Linked DNA regions of Anolis sagrei. The protein of the gene in region 1 purifies or fractionates together with the protein of each later gene. This does not show direct contact. Links are inferred from orthologs where the notes say so. Each region holds a gene or a part of one and is shown in the gene's direction. Other genes may lie near its edges.

Region 1 (17,235 bases):
ATATATATAAAACATTATTATATTACATTATTATTATTATGTAGTCTTATATATAAGGTAAAGGTTTCCCCTTGACATTAAGTCCAGTTGAGTCTGACTCTGGGAGGTGGTGCTCATCTCCATTTCTAAGTCAAAGAGCCGACATTTCCATAGACACCTCCAAGGTCATGTCGGTGGCATGACTGCATAGAGTACTGTTACCTTCCCGTCGGAGTGGTACCTATTGATCTATTCACATTTGCATGTTTTCAAACTGTTAGGTTGGCAGAAGCTGGGGCTAACATTGGGAGCTCAACCCACTCCCTGGATTCGAACTGCCGACTTTTCGGTCAGCAAGTTCAGCAGCTCAGTGGTTTAACTCACCGTGCCACCAGGGGTTCCTAATAAAATATATAATAGTAATAATAATGATGATATTTTTGGAAGAGAGTGTTACTTACCAGTTATTTCCCCATTCAATCATGGTCCCAGGCTGAAAGCAAAACACAGAGGAATCGTTATTATTTTAGTAATTTTTGAAATCGTATTTTTCATCCACTGTTTGCTTACTTTTAAGTTATATGTCCGCAATTCGTAAATATTTGGCCCAGAACGAGGCAGAGGTTCGTTCCAAAAACTGAACTCCAGCAGCAATTGGTTCCTCCGAGAAAGCAGCATCTTGCTCCTCTCCTTACGGAATTCCAAATATTCCTAGAATGAATATAGAGATATATGTAGATATAATATATATAAGAATATAATTAATACATTGACTCATCATAATAAATTATAATAAATATAATGAACACATGGCAGCATCATACTGATATATATAATATGATGAATATATAGTTTTATATATATATATATATATATAAGCAATGTAATGAATACATTGCATAATACAAGTAATAAAGTGATATTAATAATAATAAATACAATGAATACATTGTGACTACAATACTTTGCATAATAATACAAATAATAAAGTGACAATAATAATCATCATAAATATAATGAATACATTATAATACCACAATACACTGCATACATAATAATACAAATATTAAAGTGATAATAATGTAATGAATACATTGCATAATAATACAAATAATAAAGTTATGATAATAATAATAAATATAAATACGACTACACTGCATGATAATAATAAAACTATTGCTATTTAAATTAATTAAAATAATAATCATCTTAATTTCAAGACCTTATTCTGTTTCAACTTGTTCATGGAATCCATCAGAGCCGGGTAGCCGCCTGAAAACCGCCAAAGGTGAACTGCAGAAATAATAATAATGTTGCAATAATAATAATAACAATATTAAATACACCATAATAAATACATAATAATGAACATATAATAATAATAATAATACTTTTAAGATGGTAGCTCATTGCTAATTTCAGTGGATGATGGGATATATTATCTCTCTTCCTTACCTGCTTGGTCCTGTTCGCCGTACCATGTATTCCAGTTTCCAACCAAATCGCAAGGATAATTGGCATCCAAGTGCAATTTCGGAAGGACTTCCTCCCTGAGGAAGAAAAGCAGGAAGAACTACATCTCCCATTATCCCCTTCTATAGGAGATGAGCAGCTGTAGAGAAGGGGGGGCGGGGTTACATCATGACCAAGAAACACAGTGTGGTTCTGGCTTCCATTAAAATAATAACAACAATATAATATTAAAATAATATTACAGTACAATAGTAATAATAACAACAACAATATTATAATATAGTAATAGTAATAATAACAATAATATAATAATATAACAATAATACTACTAGTAAAATAAGGAATATAATATAAATAATAAAATATTGAGCATAAATATTGCAGACTAAAATAATAATGTAATAATAATGAAATACAAAAGAATAATAACACTGTGATAGAACATGAATTCTTGCTTAATGAAATCCATTGAGAGGCAGACACGAGGAACAAGAAACGATATCAAATATTTTTAGAAATAAAATCTCTCTCTCTCTCTATATATATAGATATTACTATTACTATAGAGCAGGCATGGGCAAACTTTGTAACTTGGGGGCCGCATGCTAGCACTCCCTGACTGCTCAGTGATTGATGGATGGAAGGAAGGGAGGAAGGAAGGGAAGGAGGAAAGAAAGAGAGAAGGAAGAAAGGGAAGCATGGAAGGAGAAAGAGGGAGAGTGGGAAGGAGGGAGGAAAGGAAGGAAAGACGAAAGGGGAGGAGGAAGAAATAAGAGAAGGAAGAAAGGAGAGAAGGATAGAAGAAAGGGAAGGATAAAGGAAAGAGAGAAGGAAGGAAAGACAAAAGGGAAGGAAGAATGAAAAGGTGGAAGGAAAGGATGGAAGGAGAAAGGGAGAGGTAAGGAAGGAGGAAAGAGGGAAGGAAGGAAAGAAAAGTGAAGGAAGAAAGGATGAATGGGAAGGAGGAAGGAAAGAGAAGGGAGGAAGAGAAGGATGGAAGAAAGGAAGGGAAGGATAAAGGAAAGAGAAGGAAGGAAAGACAAAAGGGAAGAAGGGAAGGAGAAAGAGGGAGAGAGGGAAGGAAGGACAAAAGGGTAGAAGAGAAGGAAGAAGGGAAGGAAAAAGAGGGAGGGAAGGAAGGGAGGGAAGGATAGGATGGTTTGAGAGAGGAGGGCCTGAGAAAAGAGCCCAAGGGGCCACATCCGGCTCCCGGGCCTGGGTTTGCCCATACCTGCTATGGAGTTATATTCCTTTTTTTCCCCAATCGAGAGACTTACGTCAGGCTGTTATAAGCCTCCAAGCATTCGGGCTTCACATTGTGGACTGAAACAGAGAGAAAAAGCTATGAATAAATGCAAAGAGCAAAGCTATGAATGCATGTAAAGCTATGAATGAATACAATGACTATGAATGAATCTGAGTATTAATCAGATACTTGCATTGGATTTTATAGAGGTGGTTGGTTTCCTTTTTGGACAAGAGGGTGGAATGGGCATCCTTCCGAGGGTCCACCTTGTGCACAAAGAGCGAGCGGAACCAGCTACTTTCACCCTCCTGGGAATAATGCCTGCAAATAATATTAATAATAAAATAATAATAAAATATATTATAATAATATAATATATAGTAATAATACTGTTGCGATGGTATCTCATTGCTCATCCCAGTAGATGGTGGGAAATACCGTATATATATTCATGTATGTGTGTGTGTATATAGATGTATGATGACATTTCCATATATATACATGGAAAAGAAAGGAATAACAATTACAAAGGAAGCACTTTGTTATAGGCCCAATGAGGACCAGAGGAATGAGGCCAAGCTGTAATAATAATAATAATAACAATAATAATATATTAATAGATATTATTATTACTATTACAGCCTGGGCTCATTGCTTTGGTCCTCATTGGGCCTATGATAACAACAAAAGTTTTATATTATTAAGGATTATTATTAGTTTTATTAGTATTCTTATCGATATATTATTACATTGGGCCTATGATAACAAAAACACTTTTACATTATTAAGGATTATTATTAGTATTATTACTATTATATATGTGTGTGTCTGTGTATATATATATCAGTATTACACAAACAGAGACATATATATCAGCATTATTACTCTTATAATTACTAATATAATGTATATATGTATATATTGGTATTACTGTTCTTGAGATGAAAAGCCATCTGTGTTTTAGATGGATTAGGGATCAGCTGGTTTTCCCTGTAGTAGGCAGTAAGAGCACCTAGAGTTTCGGAGAACAGACAAGCATCCTGAGCTCTGAGGATCACCTGGGAAGGAATCCCACTGGAGCATTGCAATGCACTCAAATACCTGGGAGCCACTCTGAACCGTGCTCTGACCTACAAGGAGCACTGCCTGAACATCAAGGAAAAAGTGGGTGCTAGAAACAATATCATACGAATGCTGACTGGCACAACCTGGGGATCACAACCAGACACAGTGAAGACATCCGCCCTTGCGCTATGCTACTCTGCTGCTGAGTATGCATGCCCAGTATGGAACACATCTCACCACACTAAAACAGTGGATGTGGCTCTTAATGAGACATGCCGCATTATCACGGGGTGTCTGCGCCCTACACCACTGGAGAAATTACACTGCTTAGCCAGTATTGCACCACCCGACATCCGTCGGGAAGTAGTAGCCAATAGTGAAAGGACCAAGGCAGTGACATCTCCAGCTCATCCCTTGTTTGGGCATCAGCCAGCACGCCAATGACTTAAATCAAGAAATAGTTTTCTAAGATCTACAGAGACACTCGCTGAAACACCTCAGCAAGTGAGAGTCCAAAAGTGGCAGGCTCAAACCCAGAGCCTCAATTAAGGGCTGATACCCAATGAGAGACTCCCCCCTGGGCACACAGAAAACTGGGCGACTTGGAAGACGCCGAACAGACTGCGCTCTGGCACCGCAAGATGCAGAGCCAACCTTCAGAAATGGGGCTACGAAGTGGAATCCACAACATGCGAGTGTGGAGAAGAGCAAACCACTGACCATCTGCTGCAATGCAACCTGAGCCCTGCTACATGCACAATGGAGGACCTTCTTGCGGCAACACCAGAGGCACTGGTCAAAGGACATTTAATCAACTACCAAGTTTGCAAACTCTGTGTCTTTTGTATGTTTGTTTGTTTGTTCTGTCAAAAATGTAATACAACTGACACGATAAAAAAAATATTACTATTACATATGTTTATCAGTATTACTATTATTATTACTATTATATATGCGTATGCGTGTATCAGTATTATTACTATTATATACTATACATATGTGTGTATATATTTCAGTATTATTACTATTATATATATATACTATTACATATTAATATTATTAAGAATATTATTAAATACTAATATTACTAAAACTAATAATAAGTAATATAAAAGTATTGTTGTTATTATTATTATTATACTAATATCCCACTTTGGATAGGCGCCATATCCACAGATTCTGTAATATTCCCAGAATTGGAAATATTCTGAATAAAACAATAACAATGTAAAAAATAATATAACCATAATGGAAATCTATACTATAATAATATTATATTATAAAGTAATAATAAAAGCTAGGAATAATATAAACATAACATAAAATCAAGTAGAAATGCACCCCCATTGGCCTTGGGTGAAACCTTTGGCCTGAAGCGGGCCATTCATTAACTTTGATACAGAGAAAGGAAACATTCAAAGTATTGCAATATATATAAAATATATTTCTAAATATATTAGATATATTCCTAAATATATTAAAAGTAATGCTATATATAGCAATAATTTAGGAATATTAAATACATTCCTAAATATGTTCTTAAGTATATCACTTATATTCCTAATTATATTAAAAGTATTGCTATATATATTAAATGTATTCCTCAATATATTAGATATATTCCTCTATATATATAGAGAGAGAGAGAGAGAGACTGTATATATATATATATATATATATATATATATATATATATATATATATTCCTAAATGCATTCCTATAAAAAGGTAAAGGTAGTCCCCTGACATTAAGTCCAGTCATGTCTGACTCTGGGGTGTGGTGCTCATCTCCATTTCTAAGCCGAAGAGCCAGCGTTGTCCGTAGACACCTCCAAGGTCATGTGGCTGGCATGACTGCATGGAGCGCCGTTACCTTCCCACCGGAGCGGTACCTATTGATCTACTCACATTTGCATGTTTTCGAACTGCTAGGTTGGCAGAAGCTAGGGCTGACAGCGGAAGCTCACGCCACTCCCCAGAATTGAACCTGCAACCTTTCAATCAACAAGCTCAGCAGCTCAGTGCTTTAACCCACTGCGCCACCGGGGGCTCCATTTCTATATATAATACATATTCCTAAATACATTCCTAAATGGGTCCCCTGATGGCACACCAGGTTAAACCGCTAAGCTGCTGAACTTGTTGAGTGAAAGGTTGGTGGTTCGAATCTGAGGAGTGGGGTGAGCTCCTGCTGTTAGGCCCAGCTTCCGCCAATCTAGCAGTTTGAAAATATGCAAATATGAGTAGTTCAATAGGTACAGCTTCTGCAGGAAGGTAATGGCACTCCATGCAGTCATGCCACCCACATAACCTTGGAGATGTCTATGGATAGCGCCGGCTCTTCGGCTTAGAAATGGAAATGATCACAACCTCCCAGAGTTGGACACGATTAGACTTAATGTCAGGGGAAACCTTTACTTTATATTCCTAAATATATTAGATACTAAATACCTTGAAAGTATTGCTGTATTATATATATATTCCTAAATATATTAGAAATATCCCTAAATATATAATATATATTTATACAATATATATTATATATTAAAAGTATTGCTATATATATATTAAATTTATTCCTAAACATATTCCTCAATATATTACATTCCTAGATACATTAAAAGTATTGATATATGTATATATGTGTGTGTGTGTGTATAATCTATTCCTAAATACCTTAAATATATTAAATCTATTCCTATATATATTACATATATTTATATTATATAATATATATTAAAAGTATTGCTACATATATTACACCTGTTTCTAAATCTATTCCTAAATTTGTTGTTGTTCATTCGTTCAGTCGTCTCCGACTCTTCTTGACCTCATGGACCATCCCACGCCAGAGCTTCCTGTCGGCCGTCACCACCCCCAGCTCCTTCAAGGTCAGCCCAGTCACTTCAAGGATGCCATCCATCCATCTTGCCCTTGGTCGGCCCCTCTTCCTTTTGCCTTCCACTTTCCCTAGCATCATTCCCTTCTCTAGGCTTTGCTGTCTCCTCATGATGTGGCCAAAGTACTTCAACTTTGCCTCTAGTATCCTTCCCTCCAATGAGCAGTCGGGCTTTATTTCCTGGAGGATGGACTGGTTGGATCTTCTTGCAGTCCAAGGCACTCTCAGGACTTTCCTCCAGCACCACAGTTCAAAAGCATCTATCTTCCTTCGTTCAGCCTTCCCTAAGGTCCAGCTCTCACATCCGTAGGTTACTACAGGGAATACCATGGCTTGGACTAGGCGGATCTTTGTTTCCAGTCTGATGTCTCTACTCTTTACTATTTTATCGAGACTGGACATTGCTCTCCTCCCAAGAAGTAAGCGTCTTCTGATTTCCTGGCCACAGTCTGCATCTGCAGTAATCTTTGCGCCTAGAAATACAAAGTCTATCACAGCCTCCACATTTTCTCCCTCTATTTTCCAGTTGTCAATCATTCTTGTTGCCATAATCTTGGTTTTTTTGACGTTTAGCTGCAACCCAGCTTTTGCGCTTTCTTCTTTCACCTTGATTAGAAGGCTCCTCAGCTCCTCCTCGCTTTCGGCCATCAGAGTGGTGTCATCTGCATATCTGAGGTTGTTAATGTTTCCTAAATACATCAGATATATTCCCCAATATAGTCAAACTATTTGAATATAATTTAAATCTATTCCTAATACTATTGCCCAATATATTAAATCTATTCCTAAACATATTAAGAGTATTGCTGCATGTATGTAACATATGTGTATATAACATATATTCCTACCGGAAGCCCAGGCTAGAAAAGGAAAAGGCCGCTCTGCCCCGAAGAGCCTCCAAAACCAGCTTCCGCGTAGCAGCCATTTTTTCCCTCTCCGAACCAGGAGGCGAAGGAGGGCACGCCCCTTTATTTAGGGGCGTGGCTTGGTCTCAAGAGGGGCGGGGCCGCGAGGCCTTGCTTTAGCAACAAACGTCATTCGGCCTTTCTTCCTCGAGGGGGCGCTCTTTCCCAGCCAGCCAATTACAATGGCCTTTATGGAGAGGGCGGGTCTTTGGGGGCCAAATGGCAGGCGAACGCACCAATCGGAACACTCATTACCCTTTCCCTTTAAGACAGACATCTAACACTTCGGGTTTCGTTTGAAAAGCCGAGGGGGAAAGAGTTGCTTTCCATTTTCCCGCCTCGCAAATGGCGCCTCGTTTTTCTATCGGCACCCGGAAGTATAACACATAAGCCATCTCGTAGGCACCTCTATGTCTCCTTAAAATAGGATTCCAAAAGAAAAGAATTGCCCGCTCCGCCTCTTCGGGGGCGTGGCCTATTTTCCCTCCACAACCAATAGCAAACGACGAGGAGAGGCAACCACTAGGCAGCGTTGGGCCTCAACCCCGCCTCCTGAGGGGGCGTGGCCAATGCCAACCAATCGGGAGCGGGAGAGACGAGGAGTGGCAGCTCCGGCTCCGGCGGCGGAGGTGAGGGCCGATTTCTTTTCCTTCGGGGGGGCTGTTCCCCCTTCCCTCCCCCCGCGCTTTCAGGGGGCTGTTCCGTATACCCCCCCGCACCCCTGATTTCCCCCCTTTCCTTCCGTTTTTACCCCAAAACATGAGGGAAACGGCTTTCGTAGGCCTCCCTTCCCCCTCATCTCCTCTTAAGATTGGAAAAAAGCCGTTTATGCCCCATAAGTGGCCTTTTTTGAATCAATCAATAGATAATCGATATTTATTATATCCTCGAAGGAAAAGAAACTCTTCCCTCCCCCCATTTTCCCTATAAAGCTTTCTTTGTTAATAAACCAAGCCAGAGTTTGGCTCCTCCCTCTTCCAATCCTCCCTAAAACTATTCCAATCGATCCACTGATTGATCCCTTGTCCTAACTCTTCAATACGAATCATAGGACAAGGGTCTCCCAATACAAAACACTTTTTCAGTCAGTTGATGAATCAGTCAATGGATGGACTGATCAATTGATTGATTGATGGATTGATCAATTAATCAGTTAATGGACGGATTGATCAATGATCCCATTCATTTCCCTCATAGGACAAGAAAGACACTTCTTTACCCCAAGTCTCCCAAAAAAATCCCAATAAGTATCTCTTTCAATCAATTAATCAATCAATCGATTAATTGATCCATTGTCCCACCCATCCCTGGAGAACCATTGAACACAGGGGCGGCTCAACCCATTACGCAAAGTAAGCATTTGCAGTATAGTTGATTTTCCCAGGGGCGCTCTTGGGGGAAAATAGACCTTGACATATGCAAGTTGTAGTTACTGGGATGTATAGTTCACCTACAATCAAAGAGCATTCTGCACTCCACCAATGATGGAATTGAACCAAATATGGCACACAGAACTCCCACGACAAACAGAAAATATATATCAGTGATTGGCTGGGGTGCCACAATACTGTTTGCTTACCATTGAAAATTACCTAGGGCCGCCTCTGATTGAACAAGAAATTAAAACCTTTGTCACGATAATAACTCGTCTTTCAATCAGTCACTCCAATATAAACCAATGCTTCTAAACCAACTGACTGATCGATCGATCAGGAATCCCATCCATCCGTTCAGAGCCATAAAGACTATAGAAAGCTTTCTCAACCTCAATAATAACCTCTCTTTCTATCAATCAGTCCAACATAGCCTCTCGTTTCACCAAGGCCCCTGCATCGATCGATTGTCTTATCCCTTTGTTAAGAATTATAGGACAATAGAAACCCTCCCAATCAAAACCATCTTATCAATCAAACCATCCAATGTAGCCCCTTCCTCTACTAATATTTCCCCAAACTCTTAATTGATTGATCGATCGATTAATAATGAATTGATCAATCATTGTATCTAGCTGTTAAGAACCAATATAGCACCTTGCTCTCCCCCTCCCCCAAATCCTCTAAATCACTCAGACAACTCGGCAGTCAGTCAATCTGCCTATAAATCGATTGGTCAGATCAATTGATTAATTGATCAATTGTCCCCTCCATTCTTTAAGAACCATCAGAGAATAGAAACACTCCTTTCCTCCAATTCTTCCATTTAAATCATTCAACCCGCCAATCAATCAGTCTCTGAATTGATTAATTGATATATTGATCAATCAATCAATGTATTGATTGATCAGTTCAGAGACTGATTGATCAACTGAGCGATCATCCCAAGCATCCTTTAAAAACCATAGGACACTATTCTTCTTTCTCCAATAGCACCTCACTTCAAATCATTCAACCGGCCAATTAATCATCCAATCAATCATAGATCCATTTGTAGATTGATGGATGAATCAATCAATCTATACATCGATCAGTCGATTGTTCAAGTAATCCCATCTGTTCATTAAAAAGCATAGGTTAATAGAACCCCCCCCCCCATAAAAACCTCTCTTTGAATTAATATATCCAGCGTAGCCCCTCCTTCCGCCAATATTCCGAAATCATTCAGTCAATTGATCAACAACTGAGCAATTATTAGTCTAATCCATCTACTCAGAATATAATGCCTTTTCCCCCAAAACCTACAGATCGAAACATCTCTTTAAGCCAGTCAACCAGTCAATCAATCAATCAACTTCTACACTGATCATTTTGTCCGTCTTTTGAGATGTCCAGGGCCGGATAAAGCCTTCTTTGCCTCAACCCTCTGCCCATTCCAATGGATCTTTTGGGGGGCCCTTTGGCTGCCCCCCCTTGGCGCACTTGACTTTCCGGTGGGGCCAACTAGATCTCCCAGAGGCCCTGAAGATGGCCGGCGCCATCGCCTCCCGGATGAGCTTCAGCTCCTTGAAGAGAAAGCAGCCCAAGACCTTCACCGTCCGCATCGTCACCATGGAGGCCGAGATGGAGTTCAACTGCGAGGTGAGCCGGGATTTGTAGTGTGGCCTTGGGCCAGGATTGGGTTCTGTACAGGAAAGGGCCCAAGGACACTGTTGCATGGGTGCCCTTGGACATCATCTGAACGGCTGTGACTCAGTGCTGCAGGATCCTGGGAGTAGCCCTTTGTTTTTGGGATGTATAGTGCAGCCATATATAATTTCTGTACAGGAAATGGCTGGAATAACGACGAGGGTTCTTGTGCGAGAAATCTCCAGGATGGCCTAAGCCTAATGGCATTATGGGATTTGTCGTTGGGCAAGGCTGCAAAAAATTATTATTTATTTATTTGCTACATTTGTATACCACCTCTCTCAGCCTGCAGGTGACTCTAGGTCTTGGGAAACTACAACTCCCAGGGCCTTGTAGCATTACAGTGGCACTCAACTGTATTCTAGCAGTGTCAATGGCACCCTTGGACTACGGTAGTGATAGTATTCCAAGGGGCTTTGAGGCCAGAAAAGCCTCCAAAAACCAGACAGTCTCCATGTTACAAACACCTGACTAGTTAAGAACAGGGGTGCTGCAAAGCAAAACCATATATATATAGAGAGAGAGAGAGAGAGAGAGAGAGAGAGAGAGGTTGGATAGATCTTAGCTGCCTTGAGTCTCCATGGGGAGAAAGGTGGGATATAAATAAAGATTTACACATATATAGACACACACACACGTATATGTATATGTGTATATTTGGCTGGAGTTCCCCTTAAAAAATGGATGTGTTCTGACTTACATACAAATTCCACTTAAGAACAAACCTAAAGAGCCTATCTTGTTCAAAGCAACAAAGGGAAGGCAATTGCTGATAGAGTACGACTCCAATATCTGGACAATGTCCAATGGAATATGTCCCCTTAAGGCATTTTCTAGGTCCTCCATTCCGCCTCTATGGTCTTCCTGTGCAGGACATCCTTCATTTTTGCATTTATCAGTAATTTCAGTAGGTTTTGCTCTGATCTGTGGTTTCATTTGTCTCTTTCTGGCTAAATATGTCACCTCCCTCTAGGCATTTTCTTGGTCCTCCAGCACAATTCTGTGATATTCCTGCACAGGAAGTCCTTTCTTCATTTCCCCAATTCACATATCCACACAAAGTCTGGCCCACAGTACTCCACCTTGGTTCAGATGAGACACATATTGCCGGCTCTTTGGACAGCAGAAATAGCTTTTCATTTCAAAGTCATGATTGCTTCATCGCGCCGCAGAAGTAGATTAAAATTGTGTTGTGCGGCGGAGCTACATGGCTTTTTTTGTGTAGTCTTTGGTGGAATAAATGGAAGGGAAACTCGCAAACCCCTCTGTTATCTTCTAAAATACTTGGGCGCATTTACTAGTAGCATTTTTGCGCTGTCCCATCATATGTCCTCTCTAGTCATTTTCTAGGTCCTCCATGTCTACGTCTAAGTCTTGTCCTCTATGGTTGTCCAGTATTTCAGTAGGGTCCTCTATTATCCATAGCTTCATTTATTCAAAATACTGTACATCCTCTCTAGGCATTTTCTAGGCCGTCCATTGTGACTCTATGGTATTCTTGTGCCAGAAATCCTTAATTTCAATAGGGATTTCTGGGTAAAGGACACTCAACCTGGTGTATAACAAACATCCAACATCCAGTTTCTATCCCAGAAATGCGAGTATTTCCCAAAAATTTCATTTGTGAAATGTGTTTTCCCCCAAATTGTGAGTATTTCTCCTTATTAAGAGCCTTTGGTTTGTGACGCATTTGTTAATAAGGAACGAGTGCCTACTAATAGATCAAAAGTGGCTCATTCTGCTAAAATGATGCATTAAAAGCACTCATAAATGGCAAGTGTCATCACGTTTGCCATTTATGAGTGCTTTTAATGCATCATTTTGGCAGAATGAGCCTTACCTTCTTGTGAGTGCTTTTAATACACAGTGATTAATGATCTTTGTGAAGTGTCATCACACTTCACAAAGATCATTAATCACTGTCCAGTGGAATAGCATCCCCACAGTCATCTCATTTATAAGGAGGTCATCCATGTAGTTCAGATGCATCTTAACAAGATAAAGCTAGCGGAATATCCTGTGTATGGTATGTATGCTATGTGTCTCCCCGAAGTTCCCATAGAGACATGCTTGCAAATTCATCTCGGTATTTCCATAGAGTCCACAGGAAATGACCCTAGACCCCTCTCTAGGAATGTTCTAGGTCTTCCAGCAGGACTTCCTAACCCTTGGTTTTCTGCCGCAGGTCAAATGGAAAGGGAAGGACCTCTTTGACCTTGTCTGCCGAACACTGGGGCTCCGCGAGACATGGTTCTTTGGGCTGCAGTACATGATCAAGGACACCATGGCTTGGCTCAAAATGGATAAGAAGGTAAGGACGAGGCACTTGACCATTTGTTTTTATGGATCTGAATGTTCATTCACTACCTGTGTCAGGTATGAGACCAACAAATGAGACACGCGGCTAGAGAGAGACTGAGGATCCTTAGTCTCTCTCCAGACTGACATCTTTATCTCGTTTCCTGTCTCGTCTGTTTGTTTGTTACTTGTATCATTTATGATCCTCAAAAATGCAAAGAGTTTGAGGATCTATGAAATGGTGAGAATTGAATTGTAACGCTCAGTGTGCATCTTTACATTTTACTGTTCCATGGATCGTCAGCCTTTCTCCAGCCTCTTGTCTCATTTGTTCGTGTCTTGTGTCATGTGTGATACCCTAGACCGGAGAGAGACTGGGGAGTGGTGTGACCTGAATAGTAGTGTTCAGTGTGAATCCACACTTCTCACCAGTTCATAGATCCCCAGTCCCTCTCCAGCTTCACGTCTTGTTCGTTTGTTACTTGTATATATATGATACTCAAGAATGGGGAGAGACGGGGATCTATGAAGTGGTGTGAATCCAAGTGTAGAGTTCGGTGTGAATCCACATTTCCCACCATTTCCTCTCTCCAGCCCCATATATCCAACCTTGTATCTTGTTCACTAATTTGTTATATTTGTTATGTCAAATATGATACAGTATTTCAGACAGGAGAGGGATTGAGGATCTATGAAATGGTGAGAATCGAATAGCATGAATCCTCATGTCCGACTGTTTCACGAATCCTCAGTCTCTCTCTAGCCTCATGTCTCATCCATTCGTTACTTATGTCAAATATGATACAGTATTTCAGACAGGAGAGGGATTGAGGATCTATGAAATGGTGAGAATCGAATAGCATGAATCCTCATGTCCGACTGTTTCACGAATCCTCAGTCTCTCTCTAGCCTCATGTCTCATCCATTCGTTACTTATGTCAAATATGATACAGTATTTCAGACAGGAGAGGGATTGAGGATCTATGAAATGGTGAGAATCAAATAGCATGAGTCCTCATAGAATCATAGAATCAAAGAGTTGGAAGAGACCTCATGGGCCATCCAGTCCAACCCCATTCTGCCAAGAAGCAGGAATATTGCATTCAAAACACCCCTGACAGATGGCCATGCAACCTCTGTTTAAAAGCTTCCAAAGAAGGAGCCTCCACCACACTCCGGGGCAGAGAGTTACACTGCTGAACGTTGCACGGATCCTCAGTCTCTCTCCAGCTTCGTGTCTCATTTATTGGGTACTTATGTCAAATATGATATTTGAGACAGGAGAGAGACTGAAGATCTATGAAATACTGTGAATCCATGCCAATTTTGCAGGTCTTGGACCACGATGTCCCGAAGGAGGAGCCAGTCACGTTCCACTTCCTGGCCAAGTTTTACCCAGAGAATGCAGAGGAGGAACTGGTCCAGGAAATCACGCAACACTTATTCTTTCTTCAGGTACGTAGAGAATGACAGTCTCCATCTTTGGAGATCTCCAAACAGAGCTCAGGTGGGCATCTTTCAGGAATGATGGAATGTGGTTGACTAGCTGAACCTTGGAGGGTTGCTTCCAACTTTAGGATTCTGGGAAGGCTGGGAGTTGTAGTCCAAAGCTGTCCCTGTTAAATCCGGCACATGAAAGGTAGACTTCTTGTTCTTCTTGCAGGTCAAGAAGCAGATTTTAGACGAGAAGATCTACTGTCCTCCTGAAGCTTCCGTCCTTCTCGCTTCTTACGCAGTTCAAGCCAAGGTAAGCTCGAAATTATCATCTGAATTCTCTTTTTCTTCCACTTTTGATCCATACTAGACCTTAGTTTTTGTTTCTTTGACATTCCAAGTGCTGTGGTGTCAAATTAGGATTTATGAATTTGGAAAGAAAGAAAGGTGAGATGTATATGAGGGGAAGGCAGGAAGGGATGAACAAGCGATGTTGTCATGGAGAAATTGTGAGGTAACTCCACTTTCAGAACTGGAAAGGGGAGGAAGTAGGCCTTCTTCTCAAAGTTGGAGAAGGGAAAAAGTAAGTCTCAGAGCTGGAGAAGGGAGAAAGTAGGCCTCCTTAGAGCTGGAGAAGGGCGGAAGTAGGCCTTCTTCTCAGAGCTGGAGAAGGGAGAAAGTAGGCCCACTCTCAGAGCAGGAGAAGGGAGGAAGTAGGCCTTCTCAAAGTTTGAGAAGGGAGGAAGTAATTTTTAAATGGATATTTTATCATTGAATTTTATAAGTCTGACTTGGCCACGGTGGTACACGCTCTGGTCACATCCCGCCTTGACTACTGCAACGCTCTCTACGTGGGGCTGCCCTTGAAGACGGCCCGGAAGCTTCAGCTGGTTCAGCGCGCGGCAGCCATGTTGCTAACTGGAGCGGGTGGCAGGGAGCATACAATGCCCTTGTTGTCCCAGCTCCATTGGCTGCCGATTTGCTACCGGACCCAATTTAAGGTGCTGGTTTTGGCCTACAAAGCCCTAAACGGTTCCGGCCCAAAATACCTTTCGGACCGCATCTTGGCCTACGAGCCCACGAGGACCTTGAGATCGTCTGGGGAGGCCCTTCTCTCGATCCCGCCTGCCTCACAGGCACGTCTGGCGGGGACGAGGGAGAGGGCCTTCTCGGTGGTGGCCCCCCGGCTGTGGAACACTCTCCCTGCAGACATCAGACAGGCGCCCTCCCTCATGTCCTTCCGAAAAAGCCTCAAGACATGGCTGTTCGAGAAGGCATTTATTTAAGTGCTATAACAATGTGGTAAAGATGACTGGAATGGAACAAGGAATATGAGATTGGTTATGATTCTACTATGAGACGAAGCGGATTTTTAGTGTAGTTTTGTAATTGTTATGTAGTTTATATGTTGTTGTAATTGCTTCTTGTAAATTGTCTTTACATGTGTGTACACCGCCATGAGTCGCCCTAAAGGGCTGAGAATGGCGGTTAATAAATGCATCAAATAAATAATAAATAAATAAATAATTTAATGTGTTAATTAATGTTTAACTAGTGTTATATTGTTTTGTTGTATATGTTGGCATCAAATTGTTGCTGGTTGTAAGCTGCCCTGAGTTCTTCTCAGAGCTGGAGAAGGGAAAAGTAGGCCCACTCTCAGAGCTGGAGAAGGGAGGAAGTAGGCCTTCTCAAAGTTGGAGAAGCAGGAAAGTAGACCCACTTTCAGAGCTGGAGAGGGGAGGAATTAGGCCTTCTTCTCGGAGCTGGTGAAGGGATGAAGTAGATTTTCTTCTCAAAGCTGGAGAAGGGATAATGTAGGCAGGCAGATGTCCCAATGACACCTTGGAAACATCAGTAGATATGCTAGTAATGTATAAAGTGCAAGAAAACCACAGGCCTATGAAAAAAGACAATAGCAGTGTTCTGGATTTCATGACAGAAAATATTAAGCTTTGTGGGGTGAAGGAGGTCATTTACTACTTGGCAATGAGCCAAGTTTCAATATTTTTGCAAGAAAATTGCACAGTGCTGCTCTGAGAGAGGCACACTGGGCTGCCGTCCAACTGGTGAAGCCCTGCTGCCCACCTAGCGGATTGAAAACAGCAGTGTGAGTAGATGAATAGGGACCACATTAAGTGGGGAGGTATTTTAGGCATGGCATTTCGGAGGAAAGTTTACAAAGAAAGCTCTTTAGAAAGGAGATGAAGTGACAGCACAGCCTCCAAAAGATGCTGAATTATGAGAAAAAGCCAAAATATACCTCTATCTTTTGTCTATCTTGTCATTGTATAATTGGCATTGAAAGTTTGCTGTATTTGTGTTCTGTGATCCACCTTGAGTCCCCTTTGTGGTGAGAAGGGCGGAATAGAAGTACTTTAAATAAACGAAGCCCCGGCTTTGGCATGTCCGTCTGTGGTTGTCTGTTGGCTGCCTTTCCAAAGTTGGAGGATTGAGGGTCCAAAAGCAAGGTCTCATAAACCTCTGTTTGCCCAGCTCTATATTACATTAAGTTCCAAGACATTGCAGTTATTATGACTCTTAGTATCATTACTATGGTCTGTCTTAATTTACGATACGTACATACTACTCACATGCAAATGTGAGTAGATCAATAGGTACCGTTCCGATGGGAAGGTAACGGTGCTCCATGCAGTCATGCTGGCCACATGACCTTGGAGGTGTCTACGGACAACGCGGGCTCTTCGGCTTAGAAATGGAGATGAGCACCACACCCCAGAGTCAGACATGACTGGACTTAATGTCAGGGGACAACCTTTACCTTTACCTACATACTGTTGTATTCCAGGACAGGAAACATCTCTGTACTTAACCACTACACTCCAGTCCAATGTAAATCAGCAAAGCAGTTTATTT
Region 2 (16,355 bases), on another chromosome or scaffold:
CTATGCTATCCAAAGCATGTATATATATATATATATATATATATATAGAGAGAGAGAGAGAGAGAGAGAGAGAGAGAGAGAGAGAGTATTGTAATGTAGAGTATTGTGTGTGTGTATGTATATATATGTATATATATATATAGAGAGAGAGAGAGAGGGAGGGAGAGTAATGTATTGTGTGTGTGTATATATAGAGAGAGAGAGAGAAAGAGAGAGAGAGAGAGAGACTTGTAAAAGTAGAGTATTGTGTGTGTGTGTATATATATATATAGAGAGAGAGAGAGAGAGGGAGGGAGGGAGGGAGAGGGAGAGTATTGTATTGTGTGTGTGTGTATATATATATATATAGAGAGAGAGAGAGAGAGAGAGAATAGTATTATATATATATGGAGAGAGAGAGTATTGTAAACTACCCTGAGTCCCATTTGGGATAGAGGTACGGTCTGGAAATAAAGATTGTTGTTGTTGTTGTTGTTATGTTGAATTACTATGTAAGTCAGAACAGATACATTTTTAACTGTAACTCCAGACACGTGTAAACACACACACACACAAACACACACACGTAACAAGCAACATCAGGAATAATACAAAATAATAAATAATACAAATAATAAATAATACAATAATAAACAATAATTAAAAGTGAACTTATAATTAAATAACTAAACGCTGAAATAGGGACTAGTAGGTAGTAATAAACCATCTTAGTCAATAAACGAGAACATGTGTAAACATTAAATATATATCATTAAAAACAGTTAAACGTTAATTGTATTTAAAATGGCTAACATAGGTGATTATTAAAAATGTATCTTAGCCAACATATAGTGCAACTGGGTTTGTCAGCATTTCGGTGGAGTAGTATCTTGGTCTTCCTCCTCTCCATATGCTAAATTGCATAAGTGCATCTTTAAAAGTTTCTTAAAGAAGAGGAGGGTGGGGGTGTTTTTATTTCTTTAGGGAAGAGGGAGTTCCAGAGATGAGGAGCGATCATGGAGAAGGCCCCCTCTCTTGTTCCCACCAGTCAAGCTTGAGATGTAGGTGGGAACGAGAGCAGGGTCTCCTCTGCTGACTGCAGTGCATGAGATGGTCTATATAGGGAGATGCGGTTGGACAAATAGCCTGGACCCAAACTTAAGAACAAATCTACAGAACCTATCCTGTTTGTAACTTGGGGACTACATGTACTTTTTTACACCAATTGACAATAACTTTGTAGCAAACTAAATACTCAATTATTTGTTATTTTTGTTTACTTGTTACATAGTTTTAAAAAGGAAATTTTGTTGTATCCTTGTTATATCAATGTAACTAATTACATGCATGTTGTAATTTCTAGGTTGTGGGCAAACCTACCAAATTATTTTTTATCCCTAACCTATAAGTAATGGGTGCCAGTGGTGAAAAATATATAGCCAAGAGTATCAGAAATATGTAGCAAGAACTCCAGATATAGAAGAACAAATGGTGCGTCTACAATGCAGAATTAATTCTGTTTGACCCCACCTTAACTGCCATTGCTCAATGCTATGCAGTCACGAGAGTTGTAGTTTTACAAGGTTTTTTATCTTCTCTACTAGAGAAAACTGGTGTCTCACCAAACTAGAACTCCCAAAGTTCCGCAGCATTGACCATGTCAGTTAAAGTGGGATCAAACTGAATGATTTCTACAATGTAGATGCATCGGTGGATTCATAGAACAGAAGAAAGCTATGCAGCCTCCTTCTATTAAGGAGTGGCCAAGTGTCCTACTTTGCTTATTCCTTTATTGCAGTGGTTCTCAACCTGGGGTCCCCAGATGTTTTTTGCCTTCAACTCCCAGAAATCCTAACAGCTGGTAAACTGGCTGGGATTTCTGGGAGCTATAGGCCAAAAACATCTGGGGACCCCAGGTTGAGAACCACTGCTTTATTGGAAGGCACTCCTTCTTGAAGATGTTCTCTCTTTGAATGCCTATCTTATTCAATTCTGATGGAAGGTTTTTTAAAAAACCACCAGAAGAACAACTAGGAGCTTTTTAGCTGCTCTTTAGATAAGAACAGACTTAAGAATCATAGAATCATTGAGTTGGAAGATGCCTCATGGGCCATCCAGTCCAAACCTCTGCCAAGAAGCAAGAAAATTGCATTCAGAGCACCCCTGACAGATGGCCATACAGCCTCTGCTTAAAAGCCTCTAAAGAAGGAGTCTCCATCACACTCTGGAGCAGAGAGTTCCAATGTTGAACAGCACTCACAGTTAGGAAGTTCTTCCTCATGTTCAGGTGGAATCCCCTTTCCTGTAGTTTGAAGCCATTGTTCCACATCCTAGTCTCCACGGCAGCAGAAAACAAGCTTGCTTCCTTCTCCATATGACTTCCCCTCACATATTTATACATGGCCATCATGTCTCCTCTCAGCCTTCTCTTCTTCAGGCTAAATATGCCCAGCTCTTTAAGCCGCTCTTCATAGGGCTTGTTCTCCAGACCCTTGATCATTTTAGCCGCATTCCTCTAAACATCTCCCTTCAATTGTGGTGCCCAGAATTGGACACAGTTTTCCAGGTGTGGTCTGACCAAGGCATAATAGAGGGGGAGCATGACTTCCCTGGATCTAAACTGGGAAGAATGCATCTACAGCGCAAAATTAATAGTTTATGAACTTATCCTTTCCCTATGGCAGTTTTGTGATTGATACCATGTTCTGTATGATCCTGGTGACTTTATTTTGAGTGATTCATTGATGGTTGAGTGTCAGAACCCCGGGACATTAATCCAAACCAAAGCTTAAAAACACAGTTTGGCCTCCTTATCCACAGTTTCACTTATATACACTCCAAAAAACATTCCCTGCTCTTGAAGTATTTGTGAGCCTATCTACATACTCTAGTGTGGTTCTATAGTATGTTTCTGGCCTAAGTATAATCAGAATATAGGGCTCGTTATTATCCATAGGGGAGCCCCCGGTGGCGCAGTGGGTTAAAGCACTGAGCTGCTGAGCTTGTTGATCGAAAGGTCGCAGGTTCGATTCCGGGGAGCGGTGTGAGCTTCCGCTGTCAGCCCTAGCTTCTGCCAACCTAGCAGTTCGAAAACATGCAAATGTGAGTAGATCAATAGGTACCGCTCCAGCGGGAAGGTAACGGCGCTCCATGCAGTCATGCCGGCCACATGACCTTGGAGGTGTCTACGGACAACGTTGGCTCTTTGGCTTAGAAATGGAGATGAGCACCACACCCCAGAGTCAGACATGACTGGACTTAATGTCAGGGGACTACCTTTACCTTTACCTATTATCCATAGATTCAGGTAACCACACAGGGCCTTGAAAACATATGTTCTGTGGATATGCGGGTCATACTGTACTACTTTTTTGGATTATAACTCCCAGAATCCTGTTGGCAATATGGTTCTCCTGTTTTTGAGTATGCCGAAATATTAAAATAATTCCTCCTTCTCCTCTTCCTTCATTATCACTTTCCCCTTTCCTCCTCCTCTTCCCCGTTTTCTTCTTCTCCTTCTCCTCCTCCTCCTCCTCATCTTTATCTTTCTCCTTCTCCTCTTCTGCCTCCTCCTTTGCTGTTTGTATAGTAGGATCTAGGCCCCTTATGAAGCTTGCTTGTCAAATGTTTCCTACCCCTGCACTTACAATTTAACTCCTACAAGGATCTTTTTTGTGCCTTGGTGTGGAGCTGATGCAACACCCGCTCAGACTTCAGCATGCAGACCAAAGCCCTGGCAAAGAGACACAGACGCAGCTTACTGTTGGTGACAGGTGTCAAAGCTTTGGGCTATTCTTACATCTGCCATGGCACGATTGCAGCGAGAAATCTGTAATTCCATTTGATGGTCTTTTCAAGACACAATCCCCCCAAATGTTTGTCCGGATTACTCTGTGGCCATCCAGCTGTGAGAACGAGCGCTCGCTCACTCCATGTTCCCTTTGCCCAGTATTTTTCTTGCTGTCTTTTCCCCCCATTCTGACCTCATCTGAGCTTGGCACGAATCCAAGCAGCCGGAGAGATCTGCCTCACAGCATCCCCTTGTCAGAAACAAAAGAGGTCAGATTATTAAGGGAAAGAAAGAATTGAGCACCCTCCATCCAAATAGAGAAAACAGATGTGGAGCGGATCTTTATTTCGGGTGCTCTTTTCAACCGCGGCTCTGTACATTGGAGAAAGCGCACCAAGAAATGTGCTATAAATATGTACATTGGTCACCATGGCAAAGATTTCATCGTGCCTATTAATTAGAGGAGTATTAAAACAAGATTTCTTTCTGTGCCTAGTACCAGAATGTGATGAGAATAGGCTAGCTAATGGTGAGGATTTGCTTTAAATACTTCTTATAGATCAGTGATTCCTAACCAGTGGTCCTTGGACCACAAGTGGTCTGCAAGAACAAAAATATGGTCTGCGGCCTCACCATTACTACACCATTGCCATGCAGCAATGAGAGTGACTGGTCTCACAAAGCCCTCTTATAGTGCTGAGGCAATGGAGATGTCAGGAGGGGGGAGGCTGACTACCCACTAAAGATTGCTACTACTACATCATCTCTAGATTATTAAATATAGTTTTCTATGGACGAGCAGATGGCAACTACTGGATGGCATATGTTCTGTATCAGAAACTGGAGCTGATGTGGACTAGCCAATGCAATTTTCTGAATCAGCACCCCAAATAACCAAACTGAATCTAAAGTTGACCAAAAACTGATTCATTACCCTTTTGGTACTAATGTTGAAAGTGGTCCCTGGTCAAAAAAAAGGTTGGGAACCACTGTTATAGATGAAACTTTGCAAATGCTGTTGACTAGACCAGTGGTTCTCAATGTGTGGGTCCCCAGGTGTTTTAGCCTTCAACTCCCAGAAATCCCAGCCAGTTTACCAGCTGTTAGGATTTCTGGGAGTTGAAGGCCAAAACATCTGGGGACTCACACGTTGAGAACCACTGGACTACACAGTACATAATAAGGGGTGCATCTACAGTGTTGAATCAATGCAATTTGATACCAATTTAAGCTGCCATGGCTCAATGCTATAGAATTGTGGGAGCTGTAGTTTTACAAAGTGAACACATATCCCCATATCATGTCCGTCCCAACTACAGTACTGTCCTCATGATGCACTTTCTCCCGTCCTTAATAAAGGCTCAATCCCATTGTTCGCCCCTTCTAAGCTCACCTCTCAGACACATTCTTCTCCATTTACTTATCTCACCCAGGATTTTATCAATTTTATCCTTTGCATTTGGCCCGCCCACTGTGTTTTATTTCTCTATCAAGTTATTTTACTTTTGTTTATTTTATATTTTGTTATACTTTGTTATTTCATTTTTTTTTATTTTGAAGTATTATTTGCTTGTGTGGACTATTTTGCTGTACTGTAATTTTGGGTTTGGCCTCATGTTAGCTGCCCTGAGTCCCCTGTGAGGAGATGGTGGCGGGGTATAAATAAAGATGATGATGATGATGATGATGATGATGATGATTATTATTATTATTAGAAACACAACAAGATGAGTCCACAGCAAACAAGATTACTCTGCTGCTGTTGTATTGGATCACACGTCAGACACTTCCCAAGTGTCTAGGACTGTGTGATGTATTGGCAAATAATGTGTGCAGATCCCAGTAAGGTGGCCTTCTGCAGCTGGCAGATGGTAATTTTGTCAGCGCCGGTTGTGTTCAAATGCAGGCCAAGGTCTTTAGGCACTGCACCCAGTGTGCCAAACACCACTGGGACCACCTTGACTGGCTTGTGCCAGAGTCTTTGCAGTTCGATCTTTAAATCCTCATAATGTGTCATTTTTTCCAGTTGTTTCTCTTCAATCCTGCTGTCGCCTGGGATTGCAACATCGACAATCCATACTTTGTTTTTTAACACGATTGTGAGGTCAGGAGTATTGTGCTCCCAAACTCTGTCTGAATCCAGAAGTCCCAGAGTAGTTTGATGTGTTCATTTTCTGTAATCTTTTAAGGCTTGCGATCCTACCAGTTCTTTGTCTCAGGCAGATGGTATTTGTGGCACAAGTTCTAATGAATCATCTGGGCAACGGTGTTATGCCTCTGCTTGTAGTCTGTCTGCACGATCTTCTTGCAGCAGCTGAGGATGTGATCTATTGTTTCATCTGCTTCCTACATCTACATTTGGGATCTGTCATCGACTTTTTAATTCTGGCTTTGATGGCGTTTGTTTGTTTGTTGTTTTTGTTATTGTTGTTATTATTATTATTATTATTATTATTATTATTATTATTATGTTCACCTAAGAGTAAGCTGTGATTTGGGTCAAGAGAAGTTCATGGTAATATGCATTCTAGAACAAAACCACAGCTTGACACTCCAGTAACTGCCATGGCTCAATGATATGGGCTTATTGGACAGGCAGAGAAGCCTTGCAAAACGATCCCATGATTTCATAGCAGTGAGCCATGGCAGTTCAAAGTAGTGTCAAACTGCATTAAGTCTACAATGTAGACGCACCCTGAGAGAATGTGACTTGCCCAAGTGGGTTTCCATAGCAAAACAGAGATTCAAACCTGGACTCTAGCATTGTAACTCAGTGATCAAAATACTACACTATGATGGCTTTTCTACTAGGCAATTAAATAAGTAATTTTGTTCTACTGGAGAATGCCATTTGTTGTTGTTTGTTTCGTTCAGATAGCAAGAAACCTTGAGTGGTTCTTGTGTGGGCAAAGCACATTGTTTGTTACAAACAATTAAATGAGTCAGTCTAGTACATACACACTAAATCCAAATCTAATTGCTGTGGATGACACTGATATAATAATTGTGAGGCCCAGCATGAGACATTTCCAACAAAGCTTTGCTGTTTTCCCTTCTCCCTAAAAGAACCGCTTTCTCCATTCATTAACCCCCATCCACCTTCCATTTTTCTTTCTCAGCTGTCATTCTACATCCCACAATAACTAAACACCATCATTGGACTCTGTGCTATGGATGAGTCAGAGATTACACTCGCTGGATTTTATTATATCGATTTATTTCATATTCCTATTCCCTCTTGTTCTCAGCCACTATCCTTTTGGAAGCCACCATCTGTGTTTGCTGTAATAAGGACTGATTGAAAGCTGTGTCAAGGCAACCTTCTTCTGTTGCTATAATATTTTATCATTTATACAATAGAATCCCCATATCCATGGTTTCATTTATCCACATCTGACCAAAAATGTCCTTTCTGGGCATGTTTGAGGTCTTCCAGCCTGACTCTTCCTGGGCCAAATGTCCTTCATTTCACAATCACCCATGGTTTTGTGCATCCATATGAAATCTAAGAACATATCCACTGTGGATATGGGGATCATACTGTATGTATCTCCAAAATGTCTTTGGGTGCATCTGCACCAGTGGTTCCCAACCTTTTTTTGACCAGGGACCACTCTGACCAGGGACCACATGACCAGGGACCACTTTGAACAGAAACCACTTTGAACAGAAACCACTTGACCAGGGGCCACTTTGACCAGAGACCACTTTAACAGGGACCACTTTAACATGGACCACCTTGACCAGGGACCACCTTGACTAGGGACTTCTTTGACCAGAGACCACTTTGACCAGGGACCACTTTGGCCAGAGACCACTTTGGCCAGGGACGACTTTGACCAGGGACCTCTTTGGCCAGGGACCTCTTTGGCCAGGGACCACTTTGGCCAGGGACGACTTTGACCAGAGACCTCTTTGGCCAGAGACCACTTTGGCCAGGGACTTCTTTGACCAGGGACCACTTTGACCAGGGACCACCTTGACTAGGGACCACTTTGACTAGGGACTTCTTTGACCAGAGACCACTTTGGCCAGGGACTTCTTTGACCAGGGACCACTTTGACCAGGGACCACCTTGACTAGGGACCACTTTGACTAGGGACTTCTTTGACCAGAGACCACTTTGACCAGGGACCACTTTGACCAGAGACCACTTTGGCCAGGGACCACTTTGACTAGGGACCACTCTGACCAGGGACCACCTTGACCAGGGACCACCTTGATTGGGACCACTTTGGCCAGGGACCACCTTGACCAGGGACCACCTTGACCAGGGACCACCTTGACCAGGAACCACTTTGACCAGAGACCACTTTGATCAGGGACTACTTTGACCAGAGACCACCTTAACAGGGACCACTTGACCAGGGACCATCTTGACCAGGGACTACTCTTCAACATTAGTACCAATCAGTTTTTGGTCAGCTTTAGATTTGGTTTGGTCATTTGGGGTGCTGATTCAGAACATTGCATTGGATAGACCACATCTGTGCTAGCTTCTTCGATATGGAAGTGACTTAAGACCAAGGTGAGAAATTTCACCAAGACATAAAAACAATGGAAGACAGATACCAAGGAAGACCAAAAACACCAGTCCCTCCAAGTGTTTTGGACTTCAACTCCTACAATTCCTAACCACTTAAGCGGCTGAGGAGGAAAAGGAAGGGGCCTGAGGCTTGAGGAATTGTGAGAGTTGAAGTCCAAATCACCTGTGCCTGTGATAGGGGGAAACAGTTGCCAGTCTTGGAATCAGCAAGTCATATATTCCCAGAAATATGACTAATCTTTGAGGCCCCAAAATGCATGTTGGCTGGTGTAAGAAGTTGACTATTTCTGTATTGTCGAAGGCTTTCATGGATGGAATCACTAGGTTCTTGTGGGTTTTTTCGGGCTATAGGGCCATGTTCAGACCTCACTACCTCTGAGGATGCTTGCCATAGGTGCAGGCGAAACATCAGGAGAAATGCCTCTAGAACATGGCCCTATAGCCCGAAAAAACCCACAAGAACCTATTGACTCTGTTTTCCAAATCCAAGCTTCTGAAATCATTCCAGGGTTTCCTGGCGTAGATGCATCCTTGGTGAGGCACTGGATGCCTCTCAGGCTGGGGATGTGGGATGCCCCTTCCAAACCACAAGCCCTGGGATGCCATGGGATGGATGGGCAGCCATTAAAGGGGAATCCCGGCGCTGTCAGTGGAGAGCGTGGAGGGGCGCCTTGGAGAAGCCCTGGGCGGTGGCGAGGCGCGCTAGGACCTGGCAGGCGCCGGCCTCGGAGGGCGCGGCGGGCTTTTCCCCGGGTAGGATTACTTTGGGAAGCCGAGTCCCTGCTGCCTGGGCGCCGTAGCCTTCCAGGGACCGGACGGGGTTGGGGAAAGGAAGGAGGAGAAAGGAAGAGAAGGAGGAAAAGGAGGAGGAGGAGGAGGCAGCTCTGGAGACGTCGAACCCATGGGCCAAGCTTAAGACGCCGCGAAGTTGCTATGATTTGGGCAGGAGGTAAAAGAAAGGGGGGAATCATACTCCCTGGCATTCTGTTCATTCCGGGAGGAGGAAGGGGGTTCCCTTTGCCCCTCTTGCATTCCTCTTTTCCGCTTTTAGCCAAGGCGGGATGCCCCAAAGTGCGGGTCGAGTCGCGCAAAAGGCTGTCAAAGCGCCAAGCGTTGCGCGCTGGAAAAGGCTTTGCGCCATTCCTCGCCTCTGGTTTCCTCTCCTTTCCAAGCCTCCCCTTTGGGTTGGCGGGGCTGGAAAGAGGGGGAAATCCAGGGGAGGGTCGTGCAGAGGGGTGGGCAGCGGATGGAGGGAGGGTGGAAAAGGGGAACCCCATCCCCAGGTCTTGGGAGAGAAGCGCCCTGGCTGCCAAGCGGCTCCTTCTCTCTGCAGGCGGTGAAGGCGATGCTGGAGCTTGCCTGGCACTGTTAGGGCTTCTCATCCCCCTTTGCAAGCCCCTTCCTCCAACTTAGGTATTCCTCGCCTTCTGAAATGTCAACAAACTTGAGATGTGCCCTGGAAGAAGCTTCAGTTCTTGTTCTGGGTTGCTGTGAGTTGTTGTTCCTTGGGGAGGAGAGTTTGCCAAAGGTCCTCAGTGGGATTACTTTTCCAAAGTGCATCTATGTCAGGAATGGGAAAGCCTTTTGTTTTGGACTTCAACTCCCACCGTTTCTAACACTCTCCGGTCCCTTCCTTTCCTCCCTCACCCGCTTAAGTTGCTGTAGATAGAGAATAAATGGCTTGTGGAAGGGCTGTTGTAGGTTTTTCGGGCTCTACAGCCATGGTCTAGAAGCATTATCTCCTGACATTTTGCCTGCATCCATGGCAAGCATCCTCAGAGGTGGTGAGGTCTGTTGGAAACTAGGAAAAATATATATTCTATATCTGTGGAAAGTCCAGAGTGGGAGAAAGAACTCTTGTCTGTTGGAGATAGGTGTGAATGTTTTAACGTTGATTAGCATTTGATGGCCTGGCAGTTTTTAGGAGTGACCTTTTACTGCCTGGGAGAATCCTTTGTTGGGAGGTAATTAGGTGTTTCTGGTTGTTTCTTGTCTGAAGTTCCCCTGTGTTCTTTATTTACTGTTATAATTTTAGAGTTTTTTTAATACTGGTAGCCAGATTTTGTTCATTTTCATGGTTTCTTCCTTTCTTGTGGATTTTAATGGCTTGTGGAAGGCTTTCATGGCCACAATCATTAGGTTGCTGTGAGTTTTATAGGCTATATGGCCGTGTTCCAGAATCATTCTCTCCTGATGTTTTGCCTGCATCTATGACAGGCATCCTCAGAGGTTGTGAGGTCTGTTGGAAACTAGGAAAATGGGGTTTATATATCTGTGGAATAATGTCCAGGGTGGGAGAAAGAACTCTTGTCTACCTGAGGCAAGTGTGAATGTTTACAGAAAACATACACCTTATAGATATCTACATAAAGACTCCAACCATCATCCAAGTCCAAAAAAGAAGCACAATTAAAGCACTGGCAAAATGAATCTGCAAACCCCACCTCCTCCCAAGGTGAACCAAGCCACCTAAACTGGGCTCTACAGGCCAATGGAGACTCCACTACAGACATCAGAAGAGCTGCAAGGCCATGAACAAGCCACCAGAATAAAGATGAAGATCTACCCAGAGGAAAAGTGTTCTTACCATACATCAAGGGAACCACTGACCACATAGGAAAGCTGATGAAGAAACACAATCTGCAAATGATCTACAGACCCACTAAGAAAATCCAACAAATGCTACGTTCAGCAAAGAACAAGAGGGATCCTCTCACTTCTGCAGGAGTCTACTGTATACCATGCAACTGTGGGCAAGTCTACATAGGGACCACCACACAGCAGCATTGTCCAAACACAAATTAAAGAAAAGGAAAGGCAGACTAATCCAACTAGAGAAACCAGCCATAGCAAAGCACTTGATGAACTAACCTGAACACAGCATATTATTTGAGAACACAGAAATGCTGGACCACTCTCACAACCACCATGTCAGACTACACAGAGAAGCCACTGAAATCCACAAGTATGTGGACAATTTGAACAGAAAGGAGGAAACTATGAAAATGAACAAAATCTGGCTACCAGTATTAAAAAACATTATAACAGTAAATAAAGAACAACACTAAAAAAAAACAGGGAAATTCCACACAGGAAATAATTGGGGTTAGCTAATCACTTCCCAGCAAAGGATTCCCCCAGGAAGTAAGAAGCCAGACCTTGAAACTGCTAGGCTATTAAATGCTAATCAAGGCAGCCAACTGCAACATTCACACCTGCCTTAAACAGACAAGAGTTCTTTCTCCCACCCTGGATATTCCACAGAAATATAACCCAAATTTTCCTGGTTTTCAACAGACCTCACAACCTCTGAGCATGCCTGCCATAGAGGCAAGCAAAATGTCAGGAGAGAATGCTTCTGGAACATGGCCATACAGCCTGGAAAATGCACAGCAACCCAGAATAAATGCCCTTTGACACCACTTTAACATCCCAGCCTCAGTGCTATGGAATCATGGAACTGCTGTAAGAGGGAGAACTGACTATAAATGAAGAAACCCATATTTTGTTCGATTCTAAAATGCAATCCATTGTAAAACTCACACACATTTTAGTACCACCAACAGAAATCTGTACATACTTTCACGATCCCATTGCACTGAGCCATGACAGTCAAAGTGGTGTCAAACTGCACTCCTCCTAAGGTGCAGATGAACCTTTAGAACACCCTCTGGAATTGCAATAAGACCACAGACCATTTGAAGACATACTCTGTAGTCTAAACTTGTTTGCAGACTTCTTGCTATTTCGGTTTGTCAGGACGAATCAATAAATCAAGGGTGGAGAAATGGGAGAGGGAGGGCTATTTCTGGAATTAAGTAAAGAAAGCAAAAATAAATCCCAACACTGTTGTCACCTGCTAGGAAGAAAGTGATGGCCAGTGGGGAAGATAATAATTATAGGTTGAGAGTAGTCTTCAAAAAGTTTTCATAACTGTCCTGTGTATTATTCAAGACGTACTGCTATGTTGTTGGTAATTAATGTCTATAAGCTGTTGTGGCCTAGTGGTTTCAGTTTGAATTCCTGCTTGGCCCTGGAAACTCACTGGGTGAGCTTGAGCACGTCACCGTCTCTCTTTTACAGATGAAGGCAGTGGCAAACCAGAAGCATTCTCTCTTGACGTTTCGCCCACATCTGTGGCAGGCATCCTCAGAGGTTGAGGAGTCTATTGGGAACTAGGCAAGTGGGGTTTATATAGCTGTGGAATGACCAGGTGGGAGAAAGAACCCTTGTCTGTTGGAGGCAGGTGTGAATGTTGCAATTGGCCATCTTGATTAGCATTGAATGGCCTTGCTGCTTCAAAGCCTGGCTGCTTCCTGCCTGGGGGACTCCTTTGTTGGGAGGTGTTAGCTGGCCCTGATTGTTTCATGTCTGGAATTCCCCTGTTTTTTAGTGTTGTTCTTTATTTACTGTCCTGATTTTTTTAAAATACTGGTAGCCAGATTTTGTTCATTTTTATGGTTTCCTCCTTTCTGTTGAAACTGTCCACTGCGTGTGGATTTCAGTGGCTTCTCTGTATAGTCTGACATGGTGGTTGTTAAAGTGGTCCACCATTTCTGTGTTCTCAAACAATATGCTGTGTCCAGTTTGGTAAATAATTATGGGTATTACTAGTTAAAAATGAGGAAAGTACTACCTTTTTATTGTTTGGTAACCATGAAAAGCAAAGACAGACAGTATGGTCTAGTTGGTTTTAATGGCAGACTGGCTGTCAGAATTAAAATCTCTGCTCAGCCATGGAAACCTGCTGAGTGACCTTGGTCGCATCACACTCTCTCAGCCTCAGAGGAAGGCAAACACCCTATGAACTAATTTTTGTTCACAATTTTCTGCACTAAGGATGCCTGAGGACCTGCTGTGGTGCAGCTAGATGATAGCTGTTCCTCATGTTCCATCTGAACATGAGGAAGAACTTCCTGACTGTGAGAGCCATTCAGCAGTGGAACTCTCTGCCCCGGAGTGTGGTGGAGGCTCCTTCCTTGGAAGCTTTTAAACAGAGGCTGGATGGCCATCTGTCAGGGGTGATTTGAATGCAACATTCCTGCTTCTTGGCAGGGGGTTGGACTGGATGGCCCATGAGGTCTCTTCCAACTCTTTGATTCTATGATTCTATGATAGCTAGCTGCATTAAATCACTACTGACTGAGAGGTCATGAGTTTGAAGCAAACCCAGGTCGAAGTGAGCTTCTGGTCATTAGTCTAGCTTGCTGTCAACCTTTGCAACCCAAAAGATAGTTGTATCTGTCAAGTAGGAAATTTAGGTACCGCTTTATGCAGGAAGGTTAATTTAACTAATTTATGATGCCATAAAACCTTCCAACAATGTGCAAACCTTCCAATAAATGACTCGGTGTCAAAAGTGGAAGGTGAAGCGGCAGCTCCCGCTGTGGTCAGAATCGAGCATACCCTCATGAAGCTGGAAAAATCTGGAATGTTGAATGGCATTGAATATTTGCCATTTATATGTTCATTATAATCTACCCTGAGTCCACTGCAAGGTGAGAAGGGTGGAATATACATACTGTAAATAAATAAATAAGGATGGCCATAGAATGGAAACGACAGGTTGTCATTATTCAGAAATGACTGAAAGGTCTACAAACCAAGAATGCAAAGATCATATAATTTTGCTTGTCGCAGTTGCATGAAGATATGAGGTTGGAGGAAGTGTGAGTTCTCAGTCATTATTATCAAAGCCTAGCATCCTCTTAGACCGCTGCTACATGCTACTGTTCGTACATTGTGCCACTCTTTTAGAAGAGATTGTTTTAGCATTTGAAGATTGCTTTCGTCCCTGCTTCACTTGCAGTGCAGATATCGTTTCAGGTCTCAGAAATAGTTTTATCATATAATGAGATTTTCCTCTGACTGCATGGACAATAAATTCAGGACTAAATTTGATTGATTCCCCAGTTGTCAGAGCTACAGTGCAAGACCTGAATAGGTCCACTCAAACATAGGCCCTCCTGATTTCAGTGGGGTTTACTCCCCGGTGAGGGAAGACAGACAAGCTATTGTACATTTTCCATAAAGAAGTCGCTCTATAGGAAAATGTAACAGTCGTACTCAGTACATAGGAATGGCAAGGATGTGTGCGTAATTTCCTCAACAGGATTTCATAGTACTGCTAAAGTGCCATGCTGTTCTTCCAGTAGCTTTATCTCTTATTCTAGGATGCAAATAAGAATCTGTATATGTCTCCTCAGTCAAGAGAAAAATGTACTCTTTCCATGCACAGATTGTCTCATCTTTTGAACCTAGTGCCATTCAGAAATTGTAAAGTTCTTTAGTACCAGGATACTGAATGTGTAGCTCTCTAGAGCAGCATTTCATAACCTGGGGGTCACGAGGGGGTGTCAGAGGGGTTGCCAAAGACCATCAGTAAACACAGTATTTTCTGTTGGTCATGGGGGTTCTGTGTGCCAAGTTTGGCTCCATTCTCTCATTTGTGGGGTTCAGAATGCTCTTTGATTGTAGGTGAACTGTCAATCCCAGTAACCACAACTCCCAAATGTATATTTTACCCAAACTCCACCAGTGTTTATGTTTGGGCATATTGAGTATTCCTGCCAAGTTTGGTCCAGATCCTTCCTTGTTTGAGTCCACAGTACTCTCTGGATGTAGGTAAACTGCAACTCCAAAACTCAAGGTCAATACCCACCAAACCCTTCCAGTATTTTCTGTTGGTCATGGGAGTTCTGTGTGCCAAGTTTCGTTCAATTCCATCATGGGTGGAGTTCAGAATGCTCTCTGATTGTAGATTAATTATAAATCCCAGCAACCACAACTCCCAAATGACAAAATCAATTCCTCACAATCCCGCCAGTATTCAAATTTGGGCATATTCAGTATTTGTGCCAAATTTCATCCAGTGAATGAAACTACATCCTGCAGATCAGATATTTACATTACAATTCATAATAGTAGCAAAATTACAGTTATGAAGTAGCAACAAAAATAATTTTGTGGTTGCGGGGTCACCACAACATATGGAACTGTATGAAGGGGTCACGGCATAAGGAAGGTTGAGAACCACTGAGCTAGACTATCAGAAAAGCTGCTTTGGAGTCCTGTGCTGGGAGAAAACTTCAAAATTCAGAGGAGGCAACTACATAACTGCACAGAATCAGACTAGGGGGTACCAAAGAAAAGGTTCATTACCATATCAACCACTCCCTAATGCAAGGGTGCGGAACCTATAATCCTCTGAATGTTGAACCATTCTCATCTGCATACATATACACACAGGTGAACTCTAAATCTCAGCAACTAGAAGGGTGCAAGCTTGTTTTCTGCTGCCCTGGAGACTAGGACACAATGGAACAATGGCTTCAAACTACACCCGAACATGAGGAAGACCTTCCTAACTGTGGGAGCTGTTCAGCAGTGGAACTCTCTGCCCTGGAGTGTGGTGGAGGCTCCTTCTTTGGAGGCTTTAAGCAGAGGCTGGATGGCCATCTGTCAGGGGTGCTTTGGATGCTATTTTCCTGCTTCTTGGCAGGGGGTTGGACTGGATGGCCCATGAGGTCTCTTCCAACTCTATGATTTTATGAATGAGAAAAAGTTCTAATTTAGATGACTCACATAAGCCAAAAGATGGGTAGATAGCCCAGTGATCTAACGTGGGATAACATTTTCATTCACATGTGTTCACTCTATATTGGTCATGGATACAGGCAGCCCTCCATAATCATGGACTATGTCCACAGATTCAACCAACCATGGTTTGAAAATATCTGGGGTAAAATTCCAGATTCAACCAACCATGGTTTGAAAATATCTGGGGTAAAATTTTTGCCACGAGGGAAGCACTACACCAATGTCTAAGTATATCCTGCTGTGGCCTCATCCAATTTCACAGATCCGCATACTGCCTCTACTATTCATTTGAGCTGTTCGTGTTTTTATATAAGGAATGCCATTGTGTGATGCCATTGTATATAATGGGACCTGAGCCTCTCCAGATTTGGACATCCAGGGGGTCCTTGAACTAAAGCACAATAGATACCAAGGAACCACTGTACTTGATTTCTGCTGTGA

What was found.
Region 2: the proteins of NF2 (region 1) and AMOTL1 purify together in Homo sapiens (affinity purification with mass spectrometry; 6 studies listed by BioGRID and IntAct, counting the BioPlex papers as one, with this or other methods). This does not show direct contact. The link is inferred for Anolis sagrei from reciprocal best matches to the Homo sapiens genes NF2 and AMOTL1.

The regions. Positions count from the first base shown.
Region 1 is NC_090034.1:48,738,425-48,755,659, forward strand, and holds the start of NF2 (merlin), read left to right. Parts: upstream 1-8,106; 5' UTR 8,107-8,136; coding exon 8,137-8,196; intron 8,197-10,327; exon of another isoform or gene 10,328-10,335; coding exon 10,336-10,581; intron 10,582-12,814; coding exon 12,815-12,940; intron 12,941-14,259; coding exon 14,260-14,382; intron 14,383-14,590; coding exon 14,591-14,674; intron 14,675-17,235. Other genes in the region: NIPSNAP1 (protein NipSnap homolog 1), read right to left, coding at 441-472, 550-690, 1,202-1,272, 1,435-1,529, 2,730-2,775, 2,892-3,019, 7,511-7,587. UniProt on the Homo sapiens protein: Probable regulator of the Hippo/SWH (Sav/Wts/Hpo) signaling pathway, a signaling pathway that plays a pivotal role in tumor suppression by restricting proliferation and promoting apoptosis.
Region 2 is NC_090023.1:19,886,649-19,903,003, forward strand, and holds the start of AMOTL1 (angiomotin-like protein 1), read left to right. Parts: upstream 1-8,864; 5' UTR 8,865-8,879; coding exon 8,880-9,264; intron 9,265-16,355. UniProt on the Homo sapiens protein: Inhibits the Wnt/beta-catenin signaling pathway, probably by recruiting CTNNB1 to recycling endosomes and hence preventing its translocation to the nucleus.